4 linked regions of the Drosophila melanogaster genome follow. The protein of the gene in region 3 interacts with the protein of the main gene of each other region in a pairwise test. Each region holds a gene or a part of one and is shown on either strand. Other genes may lie near its edges.

Region 1 (6,812 bases), on a different chromosome or scaffold from region 3:
TATATTTGTAGCACCAACATCCATATCTCAGCGCCATGGTGAACAATGGCAGCTGGAGCTACGACCACGATCGCGATGGAACGCACACTCAGCTGGCCGGCTGCGAAGTTCGTTTCCGCAATGTGGAGTACGAGACGCTGGTTAGCATTCGATACGAAAACGACATTCTGTCGGTTTCCACAGATCTGGAGAACCGCAACGAATGGAAGAACTGCTTTGTAGTGGCCAACGTTGAGCTACCCACGGGCTACCACTTCGGCATGTCTGCGACGACGGGTGATCTGTCCGACAATCACGATATTCACAGTTTCAAGTTCTATGACCTGGACTTGAACGTAAATGTAAGTTCACTTTTGTTTGCCAAACTTCGGAAGCGAAGTAAGCATTACTCAGCTGTCTGCTATTTGGCTAACGCGATAAGGAGTGCAAGGAACCCAAAAGCGGACTTAAGTTTCAATAACTGCGTATACGTATAAAGAAAAAAGAGTGAACTTGTTTTTAATTGCTGCAACTTGTAATAATTAAGCAGCTGGCTTTAAACACATTGTTTGATGCCTAATCATGTTTATCTTTATAAGCCGTGTGTTATAATATTTATATCATATTACTGAAAACCAGTTTTACTTTCTTGTTGCAATAACCATCTTTTTACTTTCTTTCTTGTTCGCAGCACGATGAGATTATCCGGCGCTCCAATATCATACCGAATGCCAAGACATTCGAGCCCCCGCGCGAGCACAAAGAAGATCCCAAGCCGGGAATGTCCAACGCCAAGATCTTCTTCATCCTTCTCTTCGTGGTTGTCGTGGCGGCTGCAGTGGCCATCTTCGCCATCTCCTACTTCAAGGATCGCAACGCGCGAAAACGTTTCTACTGAGCTCTCTAGCTAGTTCATCACAGTAGCATCATGTTAGGAGTTACCCGGACCTCAGTTGATCGCAACTTTTATTTATATTTATACCGCGACTGTATCCCATTTCTTATCACCCTTTTTAGTTTCCTTAATTGTTTAGTGAGAGGGTAAACATAATATTACACGTGTTGGAGAGTTAAATTTAAGTGCAAATTTTTAATCTGAACTATAGGAAAATTGAGACCGTGAGAATATTATTGCGTAGACAAGATTAAAAGCCACTAAACAAATGCATGCGCTTCTCAATTAACCAACCATCCGCTTCTAGTGCTGACGCCCAGCCAACATGGACTCAATCTGGCGCACCTGGTTACTGACAAATCGATCCCGGGCACTGATCTCCTGGCGCTGCCCCGGCGGCTCACCCTCCGACTCCAAGGCGTCGTTGGACTTATGCATGCCGCTCAGAATGCACTGCTCAAATAGCGACTTGGACCGTGCATCATCGTCGTCGTCGTCTAGCGAGTCATCTGAGCTGTAGTTCGGCTTATCGCCATGCTCCACCTGCTTCTTTGACTGCCCATTTTCCCTGCATAGAGTGCTGGTACTAGCGTTCGCCAGGCTGGAGCTGGTACTGGCACCGCTGGGCTGAGGTCGACAACTTCCCGCAGCAATGGCCTATAAAAAGAGGGAACAACTTTAATATTTCTGATTTTAGCGAGAATTTTCTGACTGCATTTTAAATTTAACTTTTGTGAAATATCAACATTCCGATTGCTAAATCTACAAAGACACTTATTTTTGAGTGAGTCTCTCACAAAATGTTTATATGGTGAAATATATCAAGTGTTTTGAATGAAGTATCCTTTTCTCACCTGACTTAGAAGATTACAGTCGTCATCCGAGTCCATGGACAATGAGCTCAGTGAGTCGCTTTTCTTCGGCGGTAAGCGTGGCTCCGCATCTCCTTGAACGGCACTACGTCTGGGAGGAAGTTTGGGTGCCTGAGCCTCTTCTGCAGTCCTCATTGGCAGCTTCAGAACAGGCCCAGCCTTAGCAGAGCCAACAGTGAGATGGGATAGTCCCGAGATGACCGAAAACGTGCAGGGACTGTCCTCGACATAGTACTTGCTCATTTCATCCGACACTGGCAGATAACTGGGCAATGCATTGCCACCGCAGCGCATCTTAGAGATTGCATCTTCTGCCGGCATCCGAGTGTCCATTCCGGTAACATCAGCTCGCGGAGCAGGCACTGGCTGCGCTTCATTCGCATTTAGATCATTCGGGATGGACAAAATGGACAGATCACTATTGCTTGGCGCTTTGGAAAGCACGGCAGTAGTGTCCTCTGTGCAATAGCTGCGAGGAGCATCCCCATTGCCGTTGATGTCATTTCCACGCTGTCCTCGAATAGCGTTTGCATTAGAGTCGTCCATCATGCTCAGATTACTTAGACTGGTGGCGCAGGAGAAGGCAGCAGGCGTGTGCTCCACGTGGAATCTGTTCAACTTGTCCTCAAACACAGTACTGGGCTTCTGTTCAGGTGTGTCCAAGTTATTTTGAGTGGACACTTTTCTGTCCCTTCTCGGAGATTGAGGCATACTCTGGGTGGGTGAATCGGGCAGCTCTGAGGGGGAAATAACACCACTCTGCATCCGGCTGTATTCACTGATCACGGATCCATTGTCCTCGCAGGCAACCGTTTCGTCGTCGCCAACCAATGAGTCCATAGAGCTGCGACGCGAAAACATTAATGGAGTTTCTAGTGCGGAATCGATGTTTTGAGGCGTATTTCCGTCAACGTGCACCGGGAGAACCGCAGTTTTCGTTGGAGTTTTTGGCGGCATACATTTCTCCGGTTTCTCTGTGAGGCTGTTGAGCGAGTCGAAGCGACTGAAGCTGCCGGGAGTCCCTTCTTCACAGTAGTTTATTGGTCGCTCTGCCGTTTCCGTCTCCGTTTCGGTGGCAATTTTCTGCTTAGCTGCTGAAACCGCCACCAGGCCAGGACTATTGCGCAGCTCCGTGGCCGAGGAGGACTTTGTCAGTTGCAACTCCTTACTTCTAATCTCATTGGTCTCCGACTTCAGCTCCGGCTGTGCCGTCTGAGCGGATCGTCTCTCCTTATATCTAGCACTGAAATCCGTTGGCTGATCCAAGTCGATCTCAAAGGTCTTACTGCTATTGGGTTTGTGCTCCATGTACTTCATGGAGTAGTCAATGGGCTGCTCTTCAGTGGGTGTCACAATTTCGAAGGGATTCTTCGCTCCCTCCGACTTGGTTGAGTATTTAGTGGAATCGGATTTGCCCGAGTAAATGGACTCTCGGCTCTCACATTTTCTGTTCAGAAAGCCAGTTGTGCTGACTGTTGAGGGTCGCACTTTCTTAAGCGATCCCGTGGGATTTGAGCTTAGGCGCAGTGAGCTGAATCTCCGTGGCAGCGTACCTCCATGGCCAGCTTCCTTGTCTAGTGGCAGTGACCCACCATCTCCATTGGGCATAAGCTCCTGAGTGGCCCTGAAATTAACTAGGTTTTTCAAAGCCGAGGCACTGCCCTCCGCAATCATGGAGTTCTTGGAGCTGATTAGGGCCCGCAAGAGCGGGATGGCATTGTGGTCAATGAGGTATTGCTGGTCCTCGGGACAGCGCGCCGAGAGATTCCACAGAGTTCCGCAGGAGTTGCTTACCACGGTTAGGCTCTCCGATTTCAACTGTTGCAACAGAATGGCAAGGCAATTGTACCGTCTTAGGATTTGTCGGTACGGCTCACACACCGCAATATGGCTCGATACATTTCGAAGAATGCCGCCTGCATTTTCGATGATCTTAAGAGTTTTACTCGGACCCTCGTAGCTAAGCATTCCGACCAAAAATGCCAGTGCTCCGTCTACTGCACAAAACTCCGCCTTGTTGGTGCTGCAGTGCGCTGAGAGATTCCAAAGGGCTGAAAGTATGGCCTTGAGAGTGTTCTCGTTCTTGTTTTGCATGGCTGCTCGAGCCAAGGAGGTCACAGTACCCAGCTCGTTAAAGATAGTCTTCATGTGTTTGTCCGCGCGCCACGAAAGATTGCGAAGCACACCAGCAAGAACCTGATGAGATCAACGGTAATTAAATTACGATCTTTTTTTCTTAATCTCCAAGATTAAACTCACCTGTAGCAGTTCATCCGGAGCCGTGTTCAATTGAGCAATGACCACTTCCATGAACTGTCGCTGACCGCACAGATACGATTTGTTATGGACGTTCTCGTCTCCGAAGGTGAGATTCGTGAGGGCCATGAGGCCGTAGCTCCTGAGGGCGTTGCACTGTTCCCTACCGGCAGCCGGTCCATGGACCGCATGATCAAGGTGGACCAAATTGGGAATCGCCTTGAGGGCTCCCAGTTCGCACATAGTCTGGCGGTGCTCCTCGTCGAAACTGGCTTTCATCAGGAGCTTCATAGCCGCCAGCGGATGACGATCTTCATCATCTGCGATAGCCTCACCGCCGCTCTGCAACTGGGTGTGCAGAAAGTTACAGTAGTCGAGGATCTGGTCCAGCAGGCGCAGCATCTTCACCTCCCGCTGGCGCTCCTTCTCCTCCGGATTATTGTGGACGATGTTGTGCAGCGCCTGGCTGGCGTACTTTTTCGCCGTGGAGAGGCCTTCGTCGTTGGCGTGCAGAATCTGCACCAGAAGCTGGATACAGTCCGAGCTGCGCAGGGCGGTGCATGTTTCCGGATTTCGAGACAGTTCCAGGAAGTTGCGCGTCAGCTCCAGGCGAGTAGCGTCGCTCTCGTTCAGCGTCATTACTTTGAATGTATCCTCACCTATTAGTGCATTCGGATACCAGGGATTCTGGGAATAAACCTTTGCAGCTTTGCTTCTGGATGAGTCCTGTTGCACGGTCGCTTCAACAGGTAGTTCCTTCTGATCTGAGATCCTCGATCTTTGTTTGAGATGGCCTGCGTTTAAGCCATTTTCCAAGCGCGCAGGCTCAGCGCTCCAGTGCTACCGATTAAGCTAATTTATAGCTAGTTCTGCCCAAGTTCAATGATCAGTCAAAGTTCTTTCGAATAAAGGGATTAATACAAAGTTAACTCTATTTATTAAGGAAGCTCTCAAAATGTTGTTTATTTATATATTTTAAATAAGCGTGCAATAATTTTATTACATTACATTATTACATTTTCCCACCGACAACTGTTGACAACTCTGCCCCGCTTTAAAACAAAATAAAAATCGATTTTAATCAATGCAATAGAGATCCAAGTATTGCATTTAAGAACTAAAAAGGGCATTTACACAACTAAAAATTAATCTTTCTGTGTTTTTATTTAACTACTTCCTTCAATGTTGTTTTTTATTTTATAGAAAATATTTTCACTACACAATAATAATATCGAATACTTATCTATAAATTTGTCCATCTCTAGCGAACCGTTACGTCACGTCAATCAGCTGTTGCTGGACGCAAAATTGTTTCTGCCGCAAAATAATGAACTTCTTGAAAAAGGTGTGTTAAATAACAACAAACAGGACAAATTATATATTAAAATAACCTAATCTATTGCAGCTGTTGCCCCAGGTGGCGACCGAGGTGCAGCAGCTCAGCCGGTCAGGATTCCACACCAGCTCCGTGTGCTGTCGCGTGCAATCCGGGCGATACCGCATAACCACAAAGCGAAACAGGCCTCTTACCTACGAGATGGCCAATCCGCCGCATTTTATTGGCCACCGCAAATCGTGGAACTCATGGAACACGTGTAAGTTGTGAGAAAATTTTATTAAGGAAGCATTTTGATGGCCACCTTCTATCTTAGCAACAATGAAGGATGCCCTGCGTCCGTCCCAGACCGCCATAGAGGATGTGTTCATCCGCAAGTTTGTCACCGGCACATGGCATGCCCTCGTCTGCTCCGAGGTCATTATCAAGCGACAGCACAACACCATTAGGATCGCGGCCCTTATTCGGCAGGCGATTACACCGCGAAAAATGTACTTCCTTATTGGTTACACGGAGGAGCTGCTCTCCTATTGGATGCAGTGTCCAGTGACCTTGGAACTGCAAACGGTGGGCGATAAAAAGGACGTGGTCTTCAAATACATTTAGTTCATTCTGCTATATACATGTCCAATATAAAAGTGTAGATTTACTTAGTGCGTGTACTCGACTTCGCTGCTGTTGTTTTGTAGTGATTTGATGGCCTTGTTTACGATAATAACACCGTCAAGATCCTTTACCTAAGGCAAATTTTGGATAAGTTATGGCTTAGCAAATGGTTTCCTTATTTACTTACCGTTTCTATAAGTCTTTTGACGTCTGCTAAAGATGTTTGCTTTAGTATCGAGGACCTTATGTCCTTAACTAGTTCTACAAACAGGAAAACAACAATCTTCCGGGACCCTCCACAGACTTTGTCCCATATCTTGACCAAATGAGTTGTACAGATTATTCCAGCAAAGCAGGTTATATACCAGTTATCCAGTAGCGTTGAGTTGCCATCAAACAGGCCCAGAAGCTCCAGGTGACTATAAGGAGTAATCGAAGAAAATTGGTCAAATAACCCGACTAACCATATGCAAACTCACTTAAGCAAGGACAAATCTTCGCGCTTCAGTATATTCTGCGTTTGCTCCTTCAGCTTGACGCACTCCTTCTTCAGTTCGCGGGTGTACTTGTAGAATCCCTTTGCTATCCAGTAGGTTTCCACGTTGTCGTCGAATATCTGCAGCAACGTGCGCACAATCTCTATGAAGTGCATGTCGTCCGCCTGGAGACTGGCACTAGTATTGCCATGCCACAGTCGATTGGACTCTATCAGCCACATGGTGTGCATGACCTGTGCTTTCTTCTTATGGTCTATCAGCCACATGAAGGGCTGCTCCTTCTGCTTATGGTCGGTAAACCGGAGCACGGTTACCGCTCGCCGCAGATCCTCGTACATTTCGCGTCTTTGGTCGCGTACGTACGCCGTGGA
Region 2 (4,783 bases), on a different chromosome or scaffold from region 3:
GCAATAATCAACAGTTCATTAAAGAAAATAGGTACTATTAGGAGTGAGCATCGACTTCAACAGTTTTACAAAGAAATAAAGGGTTTAACCAAGTAAGGCGAAATAAAATTACATGTGTTTTGTCTTGCTTCCAATACTTAAGTCGTATGGGGCATCTATCATTGGAAAAATTTCAGTTTTCATTGATCCGGCATTTCCCTGTAAAGCGCATAGGCGCTCTTTAAACAGGTTAGTTATGGAAAGTTCCTGCGCTGTTAAAGATGCATTAGCCGAAGACAATGTCTTAGTAATTAAATGGGAAACATTTTCAGTTGGCAATGCTCTAATTGATGGCGACGTTTTCAGCTGATTAGTGATTTCGTTGTCAACATTTCCCCTTATTGCATTCGATTTAAAAGAATTTGTAGTCAGAGTTTCAATGTGCCTTGCAAGTCTTTGTTTTCTTCGGTTTTGACTTAGCCCGAAAATTCCAGAAACCATTCCAGTAGAGCATCCACTATTACTACCAGTCGATGGGGTTGAAGGTGCAGTAGAAAACTCAGGAACAAGTAGAGGATCGGTAACGATTGACTCAGCTGAACTTTCTCGATTGTAATTAAACACAATAGGCAATTGCGTTGTGACATTATAATTTTCTGTAACATCTGTTAAATTTGATGCAGATGTAAGCAAGCGAGAGGTTTCAATGTTAGAAGATGAAGACAATGAAGCATATTCTAAAATAATCTCAGCTGCAGTGCTACAAGGCTCTACGTCTTTTTTGTGGCGAAAGGTTTGCCTTGTCGAATGCCATATGCAAGTGGGTGCTGAATTTGATTCTTCGCAATCGCTTTTAACACTATCACTGTAGGATTCATGAGGGGTGCTAGCAGAGCTGGATTGATGCATATTAACAGATGATGCGAGTTGTAATATTATATCTTCTATTTCGACCAACGTTTTAGGTTTTGCTGAGGTCAAAAAAAAATCGGACTCACTTTCAACATCTGGAATCTTAGAGTGCACTGCATTTGTTTTCTGTGGCAAAATACTTTCATTAGACAGTGCTATAGCAGCTAATGCCATGATAGTATGTGTTGGTGTAGATGTATATTCACCATCTTCCTCTGATGGGAGTCCTAATCGTTGTAAGCTGCGAACATAATAGAGCTCAGCGCTGCTCCATTGATTATATAATCGTTTTACCTCTTCCAGTAAGTTTTCAATAGACTTGCGATTTCCATTTAGTTGTCGTCTTACACTTTCCTCAAGGGCTGAATTAGAGCCATTATTTACTTCAATGTGACTTTGACGTACACTTAACCTTTTCCTAAATTTACCTGAGCTATCTGAGAGATTATCTAGTTTTTTTTTAATGTCGATAAGAATGTTTTTTTGCTCCCTGATAAAATCACACGTGTGTTGTAAGTCGTACCCATCTAGGGCTTCCTTGTTCGATTTTAATTTTGGTGAGTAACAATTTTTGTCGTCTTGTTTATTTTTTTGTTCTGCTCTTTGATGAACGTTAGAAAATTCAAACAAAGGGGGATCTACACAACTTATGCTGTTTTCGATATCTTTAATTAACTTAATATTGTTATTATTATCCTGCGAAGATGGGGTTGACAGAAGCTCATCTTCTCGAAGCATGGTCTTTTTAGATCCCGAATAATGAACCATGTTGAATTTATTCGAATGAAATTCCCGTTCAGCTAGCTGAGACCGAAGAAGCCGAGCGTATAAAAGTTGTGTGGCCAAAAGCTGCTGCTGCGAGCATGGCTGCTGATTTAGCATACTATTCGTATATATACAAGAAAACATTTCATTTCGTTGGCGAAAACTGTCATTTTGCCAATTTTCTATTTCTTCAGCGGTTTGCCAAGGCTGAGAAATTAATTTATTCGGACTTAAAAGAAGTTCGGAAAACGATGCCTCCATTCCGTCTGATCTACTTGATGGTACAATACAAACTTTATCCAAATCATTGCAGTTATATTGTTCTATTTTGTTGGCAGTTAATTGCGTATATTGGTTATTGAACCCACCATCAGGGACCTGGCTCGTTTTCAAATTGATTGAACATTTTTTATCGTGCTTTTTTTGTAGATCCTCATTGCTCTTCTTTTTCTGGTAACTGATTAATTCGTTTGAGTTTAAATTAATTTCACTATTAGTTGTTCCACAGTGTGGCATTATCGGATTTTGTGGGAGCCTGCTGTTAAAATCCGTTCGGTGTTAGTCATTCGTTAACTTTTTGTTTTATATTTTATTTATATTATTTATTGGATAAATTGTATTTCAAAATTTTAAACATTTCTATTAACCTTTAGAATCTTAGTTCACCTTGATGACTCAAATTTAATTAAATTAGTACTTTTTCAAGCACCATTGTACAACTTTTCAACATTTCATACAGGGTTCGTTGTTTATAAAATTTTCTTGCAATATTAATGAGATTTAGATAGCGTAATATTTATGTTATAATCCAGAATCCATGCGTTGTTTTCATTTTTTTAATTATATAGAAATCTCATTTTAATTAACGTTACCCTGTTGCTCGACTGTTGCAATATGAGGTCGTAATTTTTTTTTGTTTTATTTGTTTGTTAATTGTAATTTCCACATTGTGTTAGAGGAAGCCACAATTGTTTTACTTATTTAGTTCACTGTTAATATGGTCAATAATCGGTTTATATACTATCTCCATTTATTCCGACATATTTATATTACTAAATCGATCAACACTATATTAGTATTATTATGGAAACAAAAGATGACATCCTATTTTTAAAACTTATATTTAATTTATAAATACACTTTATATGTAAACACTCGATTTCATCATACACTTCGTGTTATTATTCTACTTGTGTTCTAATGGACAAATCGAATAAAGATTATTTTTTTCATTTGTGTTCATAAATTGTTCTTTCCGGAAATTGTTCAACTATTTTTAGGCATTGATTCCTTTAGATAGATTTTTCGCAAAATTGTATATACTGCCACAACAATTGTCTGATTTACTCTCTTTCGGTCTTTAAAAATAAAACTTAACGATAAAGGTGTACGACGCGGAACAAGAGAGACAAGGACGAGCCATCGGCTCGAAAATAACTGCGTGAGAAACATTGCGCACAAACTTTGTATCGAGCACATGTTTGTAACGAATTTGTAAAAAAAAAGTAATAGATACTATTAAATTTGTTTTTTTTTTCATTCTTAATTCATTCTTAAGAAATAATAAAGTTGTTTAATCTGTATTTTAAAAATATGTACTTCTGTGTAATGTGAATTTTACTGCTGCGTAAATTTACATTTTTACAAGTAAAATCGCAAAATGATGTATTTTTACAAATATTTTACATGAAAATATTCATAGCATCCAATGTTGGTACGACTCTTTTCAAATTTGACTTTAATTTACATTTTTTCTATACGTAATTCCAGATTAAAAGTAACCCATTTTTTAATTTTATTCATATTTTGTGTATGTATGTTAAATTTTTTGGATTTTACCTGGCAACATAACACGTGCAAAACTCAAGTGCCTTCAGATATAGATGGCGCCATGTAATTTCAAATCATATCTACGAATATATATATTTATATATATATGTATGGGCTTCAACAACGGAATACAGTAAACTAAACAATATTATATTAAGCTTGAGTTAAATTTAAATTTTCTAGACCACCTTAACTTAAAGCAAATAATTTAACATTTTGATTTAAAAAATATTATCAAAATATTTTTTATAAATTAGTACTTGAAAATTACATTTTTCGAGGATATATATTAGAAATTTATTTATTCACTGAAAACGGTTGAAAAAATCGGTTGATTCTAAATTAAAGATGTGTAAAACTTCTTATCACTAATCTTAATTGGCCAATTCAACTGTTTACTTGCTCATAATTATGTTCGTTAGTATTAATATGTCTTCGAAGAAAGTTTATTTTCGGTTGTCAACAAAAAATATATTTGTATATATATATATAAATATTTTTCGCTTTTCACAAAGAAGTTTTTTAGACAAATAAAAAACCTACTTTAATACATTTTAAATCCATGCATTTTAAAAAAGGCCTCTAAAGTCCAGTGACTCGACCTAAGAAAAAAGCAAGAGAGAATGCTATAATCGAGTTCCCCGACTATCAGGTACCCGTTACTCAGCTAGTGTGAATGTGAAATTTCATAATTTTTCTGGGATGTCAATAGATATTGAGGAGTAAAATGAAAAAAAATTTTAAAATTGTTCCAAGGCGTGGGAGTGACTGGTTCGGCGGCTTTAGAGCGTTAAAGTGAGCGTGACAAAAATTGAAAATCGATAGAAATTTACAAGACTAATAAATCTAAATAAAATAAAAAAAATATCAACACGTTTTTCAAAAGTGTGGGCGTGGAAGTTTTGTGCGGCTTGTGGGCGTGGCAACATGAGTCAACAATGTGGCGCTGCGTCTTGGTCTCTAGGATCTGTACGGTGAATATCAACCTACTAGCTTTTATAGTAAACAACAATTAAAATAGAAGTATGCAACAGCTAGATGGAAGCCTTTACGATATATATTCTCTTAGTATATATATTTAGTATATATATACATTTAGAATAGATATATTTAGTATATATATATATATATTTAGTACATATATATTTAGTATATATATATTTACTATATATATATATTTACTATATATATATTTAGTATATATATATAGAATACATGTTCCTGATCACTAGCAGAGTAGTTCCGGGAACTAACAAACCTAGAAATGTTAGGTTTCGAAATCATAATAGTTACACTT
Region 3 (5,033 bases):
ACATCCGACTTTACGAAACCTTTGTTCCAGTGAGCCAAGGTATGCTAGAGATTTCTGGTTAGCTCGGTATATCATGTTTGAGGACAAGCTTGTTGCATCGTAGCGCTCCTGTAAAAATAAAACTTTAATCATTGAAAGTTTTACAATAGTTTACAAAATTGTTCACTACTGCTAATAATATCTTCTCCTGCCTTCCAGTTCATCCGCTAACACGGAAGTTCTACGCCCAGTATGAGCAACGCCAGCCGACGGATACCTTGAGGTACCTACGGCACACTTGGCCTGAGAAGCATGTGGAGCGTCAGAGGCAGCTCGGAAAAGCTGTTCCGCTCCTGGAGTCGCAGGTGTACGGCTGGTTGCCGCTCAAAAGTGGAGAGCGAGCCGCCGATCTGAACTTTCTGCATGCCAAGAAGGTGCGCTGCGGCATGACTGTTCACGGGGAGCGCTTGGTGGCGGAGAGGATTACGGCGCGTCCTCCGTTTAACGGACTCAGATTCCTGCTTCACTAATCCTACGGCGAAGAAATGTCGCACGCTGACCGCCATTATAAATTTATAATTTTTTTTTTAACATAGTGTTAATTTTTTTTTTGTAAACAAATTAATTATGATTAAAAAGCAAAACTAAGCCACGCTAGATCATTATTAAGAAACGCATCTTGTCTAATTCAAATTTAGTAAAAAAAAAGGTGGCAGCTCTCCCTCGATGATTTAGTTTCAGGGCTACGACGTCGATTATTTTTTGTTTATTTATATTGTTTTCATTTACTGTTGCTTCAAGCAGGCGAATGAACCTGGAACAGACTCCTCCTGTAATGCGCACAGCAACCGCCTGAGATTCTCGCAGTAGCCACGCAACATGGTGGGTACGGGTGTGAGTGAAGTGGGTGTTCCGGCATCTTCGGAAGAATCCGTAGATTTCGGCTGGAATCGGCATCGCAAGTCAAAGGTCGCGTTTCACGGACTCAGTGGCAGCCGGCATCTAATCACTTGGGTTCTTTGACTCACATAATATTCATAACTGATTTGATTTGATCGACTCTGCAGGCTCACTCGAACAAGGCTCGCAAAGCAGCCAAAGAGGCAAACGCCAAGAAGTCTGCGGGATCGGGAACAGAGAGCAAACCGGAGCACGTAAAGATACATGGCCCAGGCGATCGTAGTGCAGGAGTTCTGACTGGCGACCAGTTCCTGGAGAGCTTGCTCCAGACTCTCTACAGGTCATGTATGTCCACTAGTTGAAGTACTATCTGTAAAAGCGCTTAATTGCTTACTGCCACAATTAGTTACTTATATATGTACTACTCTGTACGGTTGTTAACCTGTTTTATGCATCACACCGCGTAACAAAAGTTGCCTTTGTTATAACGTTGCCATATTGCAGGGCTTCAAATCTGCCGCCTGGCAGATTTTGTGATGTCCGAGCTAGGTGGAAATGATTTCCTGGAGGCCACCGCGGCCTGGTGCACCCGGAATCCGCACGTTGCTATCTGCCTGCTAGCTGGTGGTCTTGTATTCATGCTGCCCTTCCTTATAATATTTGGGTTTGGAATAGCCACCATGGTTATGACCTTTACAGGTTTGCTGGTGCTAGAAGGTGCGTTCCGTAGTGTTTACCAGAGATCACGTTCTTATCGACTCGTTTTAGGCACACTCCTGACCATTGTGTCCATGGTGTTCTTCGCCTGCCTGGGAGGACTAGTCATAATGGTACCTCTCTTCGGTGTCGCCGCTGTTGCTGCCTATTTCGGATTTGCCCAGGTGTATGGCCTATGTGATGGAATAGAGATCCATAAGAGCGCGTGGGTCATGTTCTTTAGGGATCAACGGAAGGCCGGCGATCCGCCGCCAGCTGCTGTGACCATAACCGATGAACCCACTTCTACGACTGCATAAACCAATATTGCTTGCCCAACTTAAATATGTATTAAGAAATTAAAGACCAGTGTTTGAATACTTTTGGAAATTTAAAAAGTGCGCTTTCTATTTTGAAGCAAGTTGGCAGCCACCTGCGATAGAGGAGTTATCGGTTATCTGTTCTGCGCTCATATACACAGTTTTCATAGTCGGGGATTTTTGTCGAATTTAAATATCTAAGTGCGTCAAAAGTGCGTTAACCTGCCTTTGAGCAGATAAATTTACTTTCGAAGCGGTAAGTAATAGTAAAGTCATAGATATTTCTTTAATTCGTCGCCCAAAAACAATAGTTTTTGGTCGTACCTGTGTTGTCATACACCCTCATGTACACTCAGGTGCTTGTGTTGGTAAATGTTTATACAAGATAAACGGTGAGTTCGAGATAACATGATAACATGAACTAGAAATAAATTCGCCTTAGCTAAATTATAAATATTGTGAATTGAGTTTCTTAAGGATGAAATGCTATACAAATTTCGTGAGATTTTTGTGTTCTCAGAACAAAAAAAATTTGAAAAATTCCTTTGGCCTATCGCACAGGGCCCATCGAGTTATCGGGACAGCAGCAGGCCATCGCTAGTTGGGTTTCGTCGCCATATACACAGTTTTTCTCGAGCAGACAATTCGCTGTTATTTTGTTTCTTATAGCGTTTTAAATAAATAAATCCTGCTCTAAAGCAGACTTAAATTCCTTGGACGCGGTGAGTACTGTTAGTCGGTAGTGAATCCGTTTGGAAAGCCAAAGTTTCTGTGTGCCATGAAAGTTGGAAAGCCATGGCAAACAAGTCGGCGCGGGGGTGGGCAGGGGTTCGCTGGATGTGCGCCTGTGTATGTGTGTGTGTATGATCTGGATACACACAAACGGCATTTTTATGTATTCCTCCCCCGTAAATCGGGCGCTTGTTTTGTTGCTCGCTGGAATGTAAACAATGCCACAGACAGGAAATCGTTTTCTTCGAATCTAGAGGCAGGCTTATCGTTAGGTGTTTTATCTAATCGACAACTGAAATGGAGTTGGGATTCTTTCTGAGCTGCCTACGCGAGTATGTGTGTGTAGGCACAATCGTTTGGATGTGTGGCAACTCTGCGCAGCACTGCATTTGTATGCTGCACTGCCGCGGCCCTTTACTTTCTCTCCCAGTCTCTTTCCCTGTCCCTTTCCCGCACTCCGCACGCGCGGTGTTGCAAGTGCCTTGCTTTGCTTGCGCTCTCCGCATCTGGATTCTGTTCCGTTTAAACGAGCGTGCTGGTCGGTCGCATTTTCCGCTGCGCCTTTTTCGAGAGAAGTGAAAAATCCATTTTGTTTTTTGTTGGAGTGCATGAGATTTGAAAGAGTGCTAAACAAAGTAATTAAATAACTCAAGGTTCGTGGCCAAAGTCTTCGGCAGGTAGACACACACATACCCACAAATACCCGTTCTACCTGCGTAAGAATGTATTAGTGCGTTTGTTTGTATACGCAGCATATTTCATATTATGCTTCGGCATCTCAAAGCGGAAATGAGTTAAAAAAAAAGACCAACGACTAGAATAAGTGACTAACGGACGATATCTGCGTCTGTTGGCAGTCTGCAAACACAACAAGCCCTTCTTTCCGGGGCCCCCATTTAGTGGAGTTCCGTGGTCTCCATCCGAAGCACACACGAACTCCATGTTATTGACTGTCCAGCACATTACTCATATACTCTCCGTCTCTTTCTTGCAGGTGTGGTGTAAAGCGCCTCAATCACCAAGATGAGTTACATGCCAGCCCAGAATCGAACCAGTAAGTATTTCCAGCAGCGGTACTCTTCCCTTTCCCATCTTCCAGGGAGTATGCAAAGAGCATCAAAGTTAACTGTGTATCAGAGTGTTCCACTTTGGGCTTTTGTATACCCAGTCCAAATGCAGTTGTATACAGGATCCGATTTCATCAAATTAGAGATGATATTGCGTTTCAATGGACGCAATTAAGTCATGGTAGCTCTAGAGTTTAGAACATTTAGGATAAATAGTCAGAATACATGGCCCTATGAAGGGGATGCAACAGCGCATTGTATCTGTGAAACAATTATCCCCGTATCGCAATACAATAACAACCCCTCTCCAACGTTAAATGAGGGAGCGATGCTTGTTTTTGACAAATTTGGCAAATTTGACATAAAGTATTTGCTTTTGTCATTTGTTTCTGATATTCCCTTTGTGGGTTGTCTGCAGAATACAGGGTAACAACTATATCCATCCACCCCAGACAAATAATTTGTGTACATCTACATACTTGTAATGCTTGATGATCTTTTTTTTGTTGGGCCATCAACCACCAGCGGCCTGTGCTTATATCCGATTCATCAAAAAAAAAAGCGCTCCCTTCTACTTCGGAGTTTGAAATTTACACTTTTCCGCTGACGCAGTAAACGGAGTAGGAAAGAAGATTTCTTTTTGACACTTGATTTGCAGAGCGCGTTGGTGAGGCTCTCAGAGGCGCAGGAGAGGACTTCACCAAAGGGGAGGAGCTCGTTAATGCATGTTGGCTTCATTGAACTCCCATCACTTTTGCCACAGAAAGTCGAGGAATGTCAATATCTAGGACGACAGTAGTGAACAGTTCATAGCCATTTAGGAAGTGGCCTTTTAATTCGACCACTATTAAGTATTTAGTTTAGTTTTCAACTAATTGCTGTACAACCCCGAAACCCCCTTGAGTAGGCCGCTGCTCACTATCCTTTGAAACTCCATTCCCTCCCCATGCTATCCACTTACGCACACACACATTCAAGGACTCGTGTACTTGCACGTGGCACTCCAACCCACGCCACCCTTTTGCCATCGCTCCTTGGTCTTCTCCGGGGACCTTGTTCTCGTACCCCGTCTCCCGAACTCGCAGTCGAGTTGGCTGCACATTTTTCTTGGCTTCTGCCTTTGCTTTTTTCTGGCGCTGCTGCTGTGCAGAATTTAATTAGTAAGCGGCAACATGCAATTAAAGGCTCCGCCCGCGCCCTCCATCCCAACACAGTACTCCATTCAAGTGCGTGGCCCACTCGACGGATATGGCGAAGAAAAAACGCTTAATCGATTTGGGAAATGAAACGAAAAGCGATTACAGTATTACAGTCGCATGTGCTTATAGCGAACAAAATT
Region 4 (4,699 bases), on a different chromosome or scaffold from region 3:
AACTTATTCAATTCCTTAATCAGAGTGCTGCAGCCCAATAAACAATAGTGAAATCATGGTATCCTTATTGCACTAAGAGGATTTTTCAATTGAGTGAAAAGGTAGTTTCCGAATAATAACCAATTAAAAAGGATTTATTAAAACCCTTCAGGATGTCATGATTATTAGGTTTCGAGAAATGGAAAAGGACCTAAGTATATCAATGTAAATCAGTTTTTCATACTAGTTTATATTTCTGAGATTCTCGCATGCAATCGTAGTTGTCTTAAACTTCAAAACCATTGACAAAGTAAAAATAAGTTGTATACTCACATATGTAATTTGCATAAAAAATTCAACATGAAATCAGGGGAAGATATTGGTATTCCGAATGGTTCCAGTTGTTCCTGAAAGAATAGTGAAATGAAGAAAAGATTAGATCAATTGAAATCATTTTGAAATAAGCTAAGACAATATATAATACTAAAATATTTGTTCGAAAGACTAAGGTTGTAAACATATAGTTAAGAGTTTGGAAAAAAAAAAGATTAGAGCCATTGTTATCCATTTGGTATAAATTTATGTTATATGTTAAAGTTAAAGTTTTATCTGAAGACTAATGTTTCTAGCCTTACCAAGCATTATGGGATAGTTAAAAAAATTATGAACACTTTTACTCTGTTTTAAATATACATATATATAAATAAATGTATATAAAATATGTATATATAATAGGCAAGCTTTATACATAAGGATATTATCAATTATCAATTGGGAGAAAAGAGATTTGGCCATTGGGTATATTTTTGTTCGCCAAGAAAGTAAGTCCAAAACAATGAAAATAATTTTAAGAAAAATCTTTAGTCTCGTGCATCTCATAAATAATCATTCAAACCAAAACATAATACAAATACCATAAATAAATTAAACAAAAAAACTTTTTTATATGCCAGTCATAAATATTGCATCAAAGATAAAATTGGAAGGTATTTTAATAGAGATAAAATTGTATAAATATTATTTTTGGCTCAGCTTAAATAAATTTACATTTCAGAGCCCAAATCGAATTAGTTTTCAACACAGCGAACTTTAAATCAATCAGTAGCAACCACCCAAGTGCCTCCTTTTTTTCAATAAGCCATACATATTGGATTTGTGGGGGAGAAAATATTTCGCGCACGGGTGCATCCAATAAACGCCTAAATAAATCTAAAGAATGCTTTGAATATAAAGGGTGATAGAACACTAACCGATTAAACTCAAGTGAGAAATGGCCAACGCTTGAGAACATATCAATCCATAGCGCTGCAAGTCCTTTAAGATGGTTGAATCTTTTTATGTCCGGTTTGTAGAAATGTTTAACTACACGCTTCACTTAATTACTCTTATTCGCATAAATTCCTATTTACGTAGCTTATATTACAGTTGATGCAGTACATTCAGTACCTGAAAGAAGAGGATGTGTAAATTGTTAAATAGGTAACATTGTATATTATGGATATGAATGCAGGATGATAATATAATTATGTTTTACTGTTTTGTTAATTAATTGATTTGTTAATGAAGTTAAAAGATATATACAGTTTCTATGGGATCCCATTGGCACATACACCTCAGAAATAAATTAAATGTGCTGCAAACTAATTAATTGAGCAATATTTTAGTTGGATGATTAGAATTTGCATGGCGTTCTAAATGACTTTTTCAATGATCAGGTATCATCCTTCGATTTAATGAAATATACATTTCATAAAGTTACTATTATTGCAAAATATATGCTCACATTTCTTACAAAGGATCATTCAAATTACTATTAATATTTGAGATATTAGTTAGACGTGAATAAATTGTCTAATTCCAATCATTTCCCTTGATACAACTAGATCATTAATCAGACTTATGTTGTGCCTTTCTTAAAGTATTAATATTAGTCCTTAAGTAAGTTGTGCAAATCCAATAATCCACAAACTGCGTAAGAAAGTAATAGCATTAGTTATGGATTGTGCATGGGAATTCCAAGAGCAGTACTCACCCTTAGATTCGTGTATCCTCGGCTTCACTCAATTGGGATGGCAGACGACTGATCCTGGCGCAGTCCTGACGGCCCTGGCTCCAATCTTCGATGGCGGTGACGATGGCAATGGCGATGACGAGGTGGGTTTGGACGGGTGTAATTTGATTGTAGCTTTAACGGCTGGACGCTTCGATTTCAATTGCAACTTAGCTTTCAATTTCGATTTCAATTTCAACTTCAATTTCGATATCGACGAGGATGCTTTCATTTTGATTAGTGTGCTCAACGAGAGGGACGCGTGACTAACAATTAATGGAAGGACGATTTGTGGAGTTCAACAAACAAGCAAACGTAAACAAGAGAGTGTGGTTAACAAGGCGCTGGCACGATGACCGGACTAAATGCTAAACAAGGCTGCAGATCCTCTCCTCGCGCACGGATCCCGATCCTCTCCTCTGCTCTCCTCAACTCAAGTGGGCTGGCCCGAGGGCATATCCTATCCTATCCTATCCCGGTGTCTGAGCTGCCTGCTGTAAACAATGGCTGTATGTCTCTTAACTTAATGCTTCGCCAGGAGCAGTCATCCTCGTCCGCTGGCAACTTTGGGCTCTCCGCGGGGAGAAAATCGTGCTGAAGCGCCGCCCTCTAGAGCATTTCGGCGTCTCCGGGCTCCTGCACTGTGAGAAATCTGTGCTCGGTGGCCTTTCCACTCAGTTCTGCACCATTTGTGCACTTTTCCGTCTGCTGCTTCTTTATTTTGTGTATTTTGTTGCTGTTGCCTCCGCTGGTTGTGGGTGCTGCTGCTGTTGCCGTTCGATTTTCATGGACGTATCGCTGCGGGCCGCTGTGCGCCGAGTCTCCGGAACGCGCACACTCTTTTAGGGCTCCGTGGCGCCGCTTATTCAGTGGTAAATAATAGATTTATTGAATGGCAAAACAAAATGTAGTTCGACACAAATGTTAGACGGCGAGACGAACGATTACATGCTAGAGTTGCGTGGTTCGAAATCGAACTGGTTCGATAGCTCGCCTCGGGGATGCCAACTGGATTGCCAACACTGCGAAAGGTGGCAGCTCGACTTGGGGTCACCTTGTGGTTCGCGTCCGCACTTATGTTGCGCTACAAGGCCTACAGGTGGCGCCAGGGATGATAGAAGGGTAGATAGGTTTTCTATTTTCATCGACTGGAAAGGCAGCAGCACTCACAGCTTCAAATTCAAATCTTTTATTGTCGAACAATTCTCGAATTTCGTATTCAGCATGGACAAGCCTCAGTACGCTCGCGTGGTCGAGATCCTTGGACGCACTGGATCCCAAGGGCAGTGCACCCAGGTGCGGGTGGAGTTCCTCGGCGACCAAAGCCGCCAGATTATTCGGAATGTCAAAGGACCTGTTCGCGTGGGCGACATCCTGTCGCTGCTGGAAACTGAACGCGAGGCCAGGAGACTGCGCTGATGTATGAATTACACCTGTTTGATTTCCCAAATCAAGTTAATAAACGATTTTGTTTGTTCAATTTTTAAATCCCAAACTATCGATTTCCTATCGCTAAGCTATCGATTCTTGCCATCGCAGCCCTAACAGCTGTTTGTGTTGATTCCGATTCCGCGAGACACTCGGATACAGATACTCACGCTCAGATACTCAGTTACTCAGCTACTCAGATACTCGTTCGCAGCGGACGGCCGAGCTGAGATACTCGATCGCGAGCTTGTTGTTGCCCCAGCCAGGCGAAAGTGAAAACGGAACGCCCAGATGAACGCCGAATAAATCAAGCGAAGTAGCAACAAATGCGGGAAATGTGAAAATGCGCGCGGCAGTGGGTTGAAGCGAGACGGGTAGAGCTAGAGAGATGCCCGTTTGCCCGCTGTGCGTGTGTGTGTGTGCAGCGGCGGCCGTAGCAGCTGCTGGTATGTGTGTGTACCGCAAGTGCAGGAGCCTGCATTGCAAAAACAAAAGCGAGTGCGAAAAGAACAGCAAACAGGATTAAAAGTGACGGATTCGATTCCCCGGGGAATCCTACCAATTAGTGCAAATTCCGAAATGCACGGAAAAGCGAACGAAAGCTGCGAATTCGTTACACTGCTGCACTTGGACTTTTCGGGGCGCTCTGAAAAATCGATTGACCGCAAGGAAAGTGGCGACCGCGAAATAATGCAGGCATTGGGCTCCTTCGAGGCAGCTGCACTGCGCGAAAAGTCCAGCAAAGGTGAGTGCGGACAGCTAGGGCAATTAAAGCAACAAAAGGCCAAAGATTGTCGTTAAATTCGATCCATAAAAAGTGGGCGAAAAAACAATGCAAAGCGTACGGCGCATTTGCCTGAGTTTTCGTGTTTGTTTGTTTTGGTTTTTTGCCTTCGCTTTCGGCACGTCAATTTTCGCCACTTATTTCGTAACAACTAAACCGAAAATACCTGTTCGTTCCACGCCCCCTGCCACCGCCCACCTCCCACCGCCCCCCGACACACCCAAAAAAAAAGTGCTTGCATTTGCGAATAGAGGTGGTTCCTACACCGGAAGAAATTACTGCCTGCGATTTAATGTTATTATTCTAATTAAAAAGCCTATGCATTATGAATATTTCATTCATAAATAAATCAAAGTCAATGAACTTTTATCTGTTGCTGCAAGCGCTCATTTATTCATAGAAACTAGCTTAAATGGTGAATATTTCATTCGGTTTTCCAACTTCAAAATCACTTTCTA

What was found.
Region 1: the proteins of arm (region 3) and Apc2 interact in a two-hybrid assay, tested with the Drosophila melanogaster proteins (4 studies listed by BioGRID).
Region 2: the proteins of arm (region 3) and pan interact in a two-hybrid assay, tested with the Drosophila melanogaster proteins (3 studies listed by BioGRID).
Region 4: the proteins of arm (region 3) and Axn interact in a two-hybrid assay, tested with the Drosophila melanogaster proteins (2 studies listed by BioGRID).

What each region holds. Positions count from the first base shown.
Region 1 is NT_033777.3:24,162,003-24,168,814, reverse strand, and holds Apc2 (adenomatous polyposis coli 2), read right to left. Parts: upstream 4,850-6,812; 5' UTR 4,642-4,849; coding exon 4,006-4,641; intron 3,943-4,005; coding exon 1,729-3,942; intron 1,532-1,728; coding exon 1,178-1,531; 3' UTR 878-1,177; coding exon of another isoform or gene 671-877; 3' UTR 551-670; downstream 1-550. Other genes in the region: CG5510 (uncharacterized protein), read left to right, coding at 12-341, 671-877; mRpS24 (mitochondrial ribosomal protein S24), read left to right, coding at 5,330-5,347, 5,408-5,597, 5,655-5,944; TBC1d7 (TBC1 domain family member 7), read right to left, coding at 5,989-6,075, 6,132-6,363, 6,424-6,812.
Region 2 is NC_004353.4:88,603-93,385, reverse strand, and holds the start of pan (pangolin), read right to left. Parts: upstream 3,032-4,783; 5' UTR 2,173-3,031; coding exon 113-2,172; intron 1-112. UniProt on the Drosophila melanogaster protein: Segment polarity protein. Functions together with arm to transduce the Wingless (Wg) signal in embryos and in developing adult tissues.
Region 3 is NC_004354.4:1,897,628-1,902,660, reverse strand, and holds the start of arm (armadillo), read left to right. Parts: upstream 1-2,014; 5' UTR 2,015-2,151; intron 2,152-2,487; exon of another isoform or gene 2,488-2,617; intron 2,618-3,050; exon of another isoform or gene 3,051-3,357; intron 3,358-3,621; 5' UTR 3,622-3,650; coding exon 3,651-3,681; intron 3,682-5,033. Other genes in the region: CG32801 (uncharacterized protein), read left to right, coding at 1-39, 199-509; Ldaf1 (lipid droplet assembly factor 1), read left to right, coding at 859-948, 1,047-1,224, 1,384-1,596, 1,648-1,895. UniProt on the Drosophila melanogaster protein: Isoform neural may associate with CadN and participate in the transmission of developmental information. Can associate with alpha-catenin.
Region 4 is NT_033777.3:30,021,153-30,025,851, reverse strand, and holds the start of Axn (axin), read right to left. Parts: upstream 3,011-4,699; 5' UTR 2,012-3,010; intron 1,426-2,011; 5' UTR 1,230-1,425; intron 387-1,229; 5' UTR 313-386; intron 1-312. Other genes in the region: RpS28a (ribosomal protein S28a), read left to right, coding at 3,254-3,448.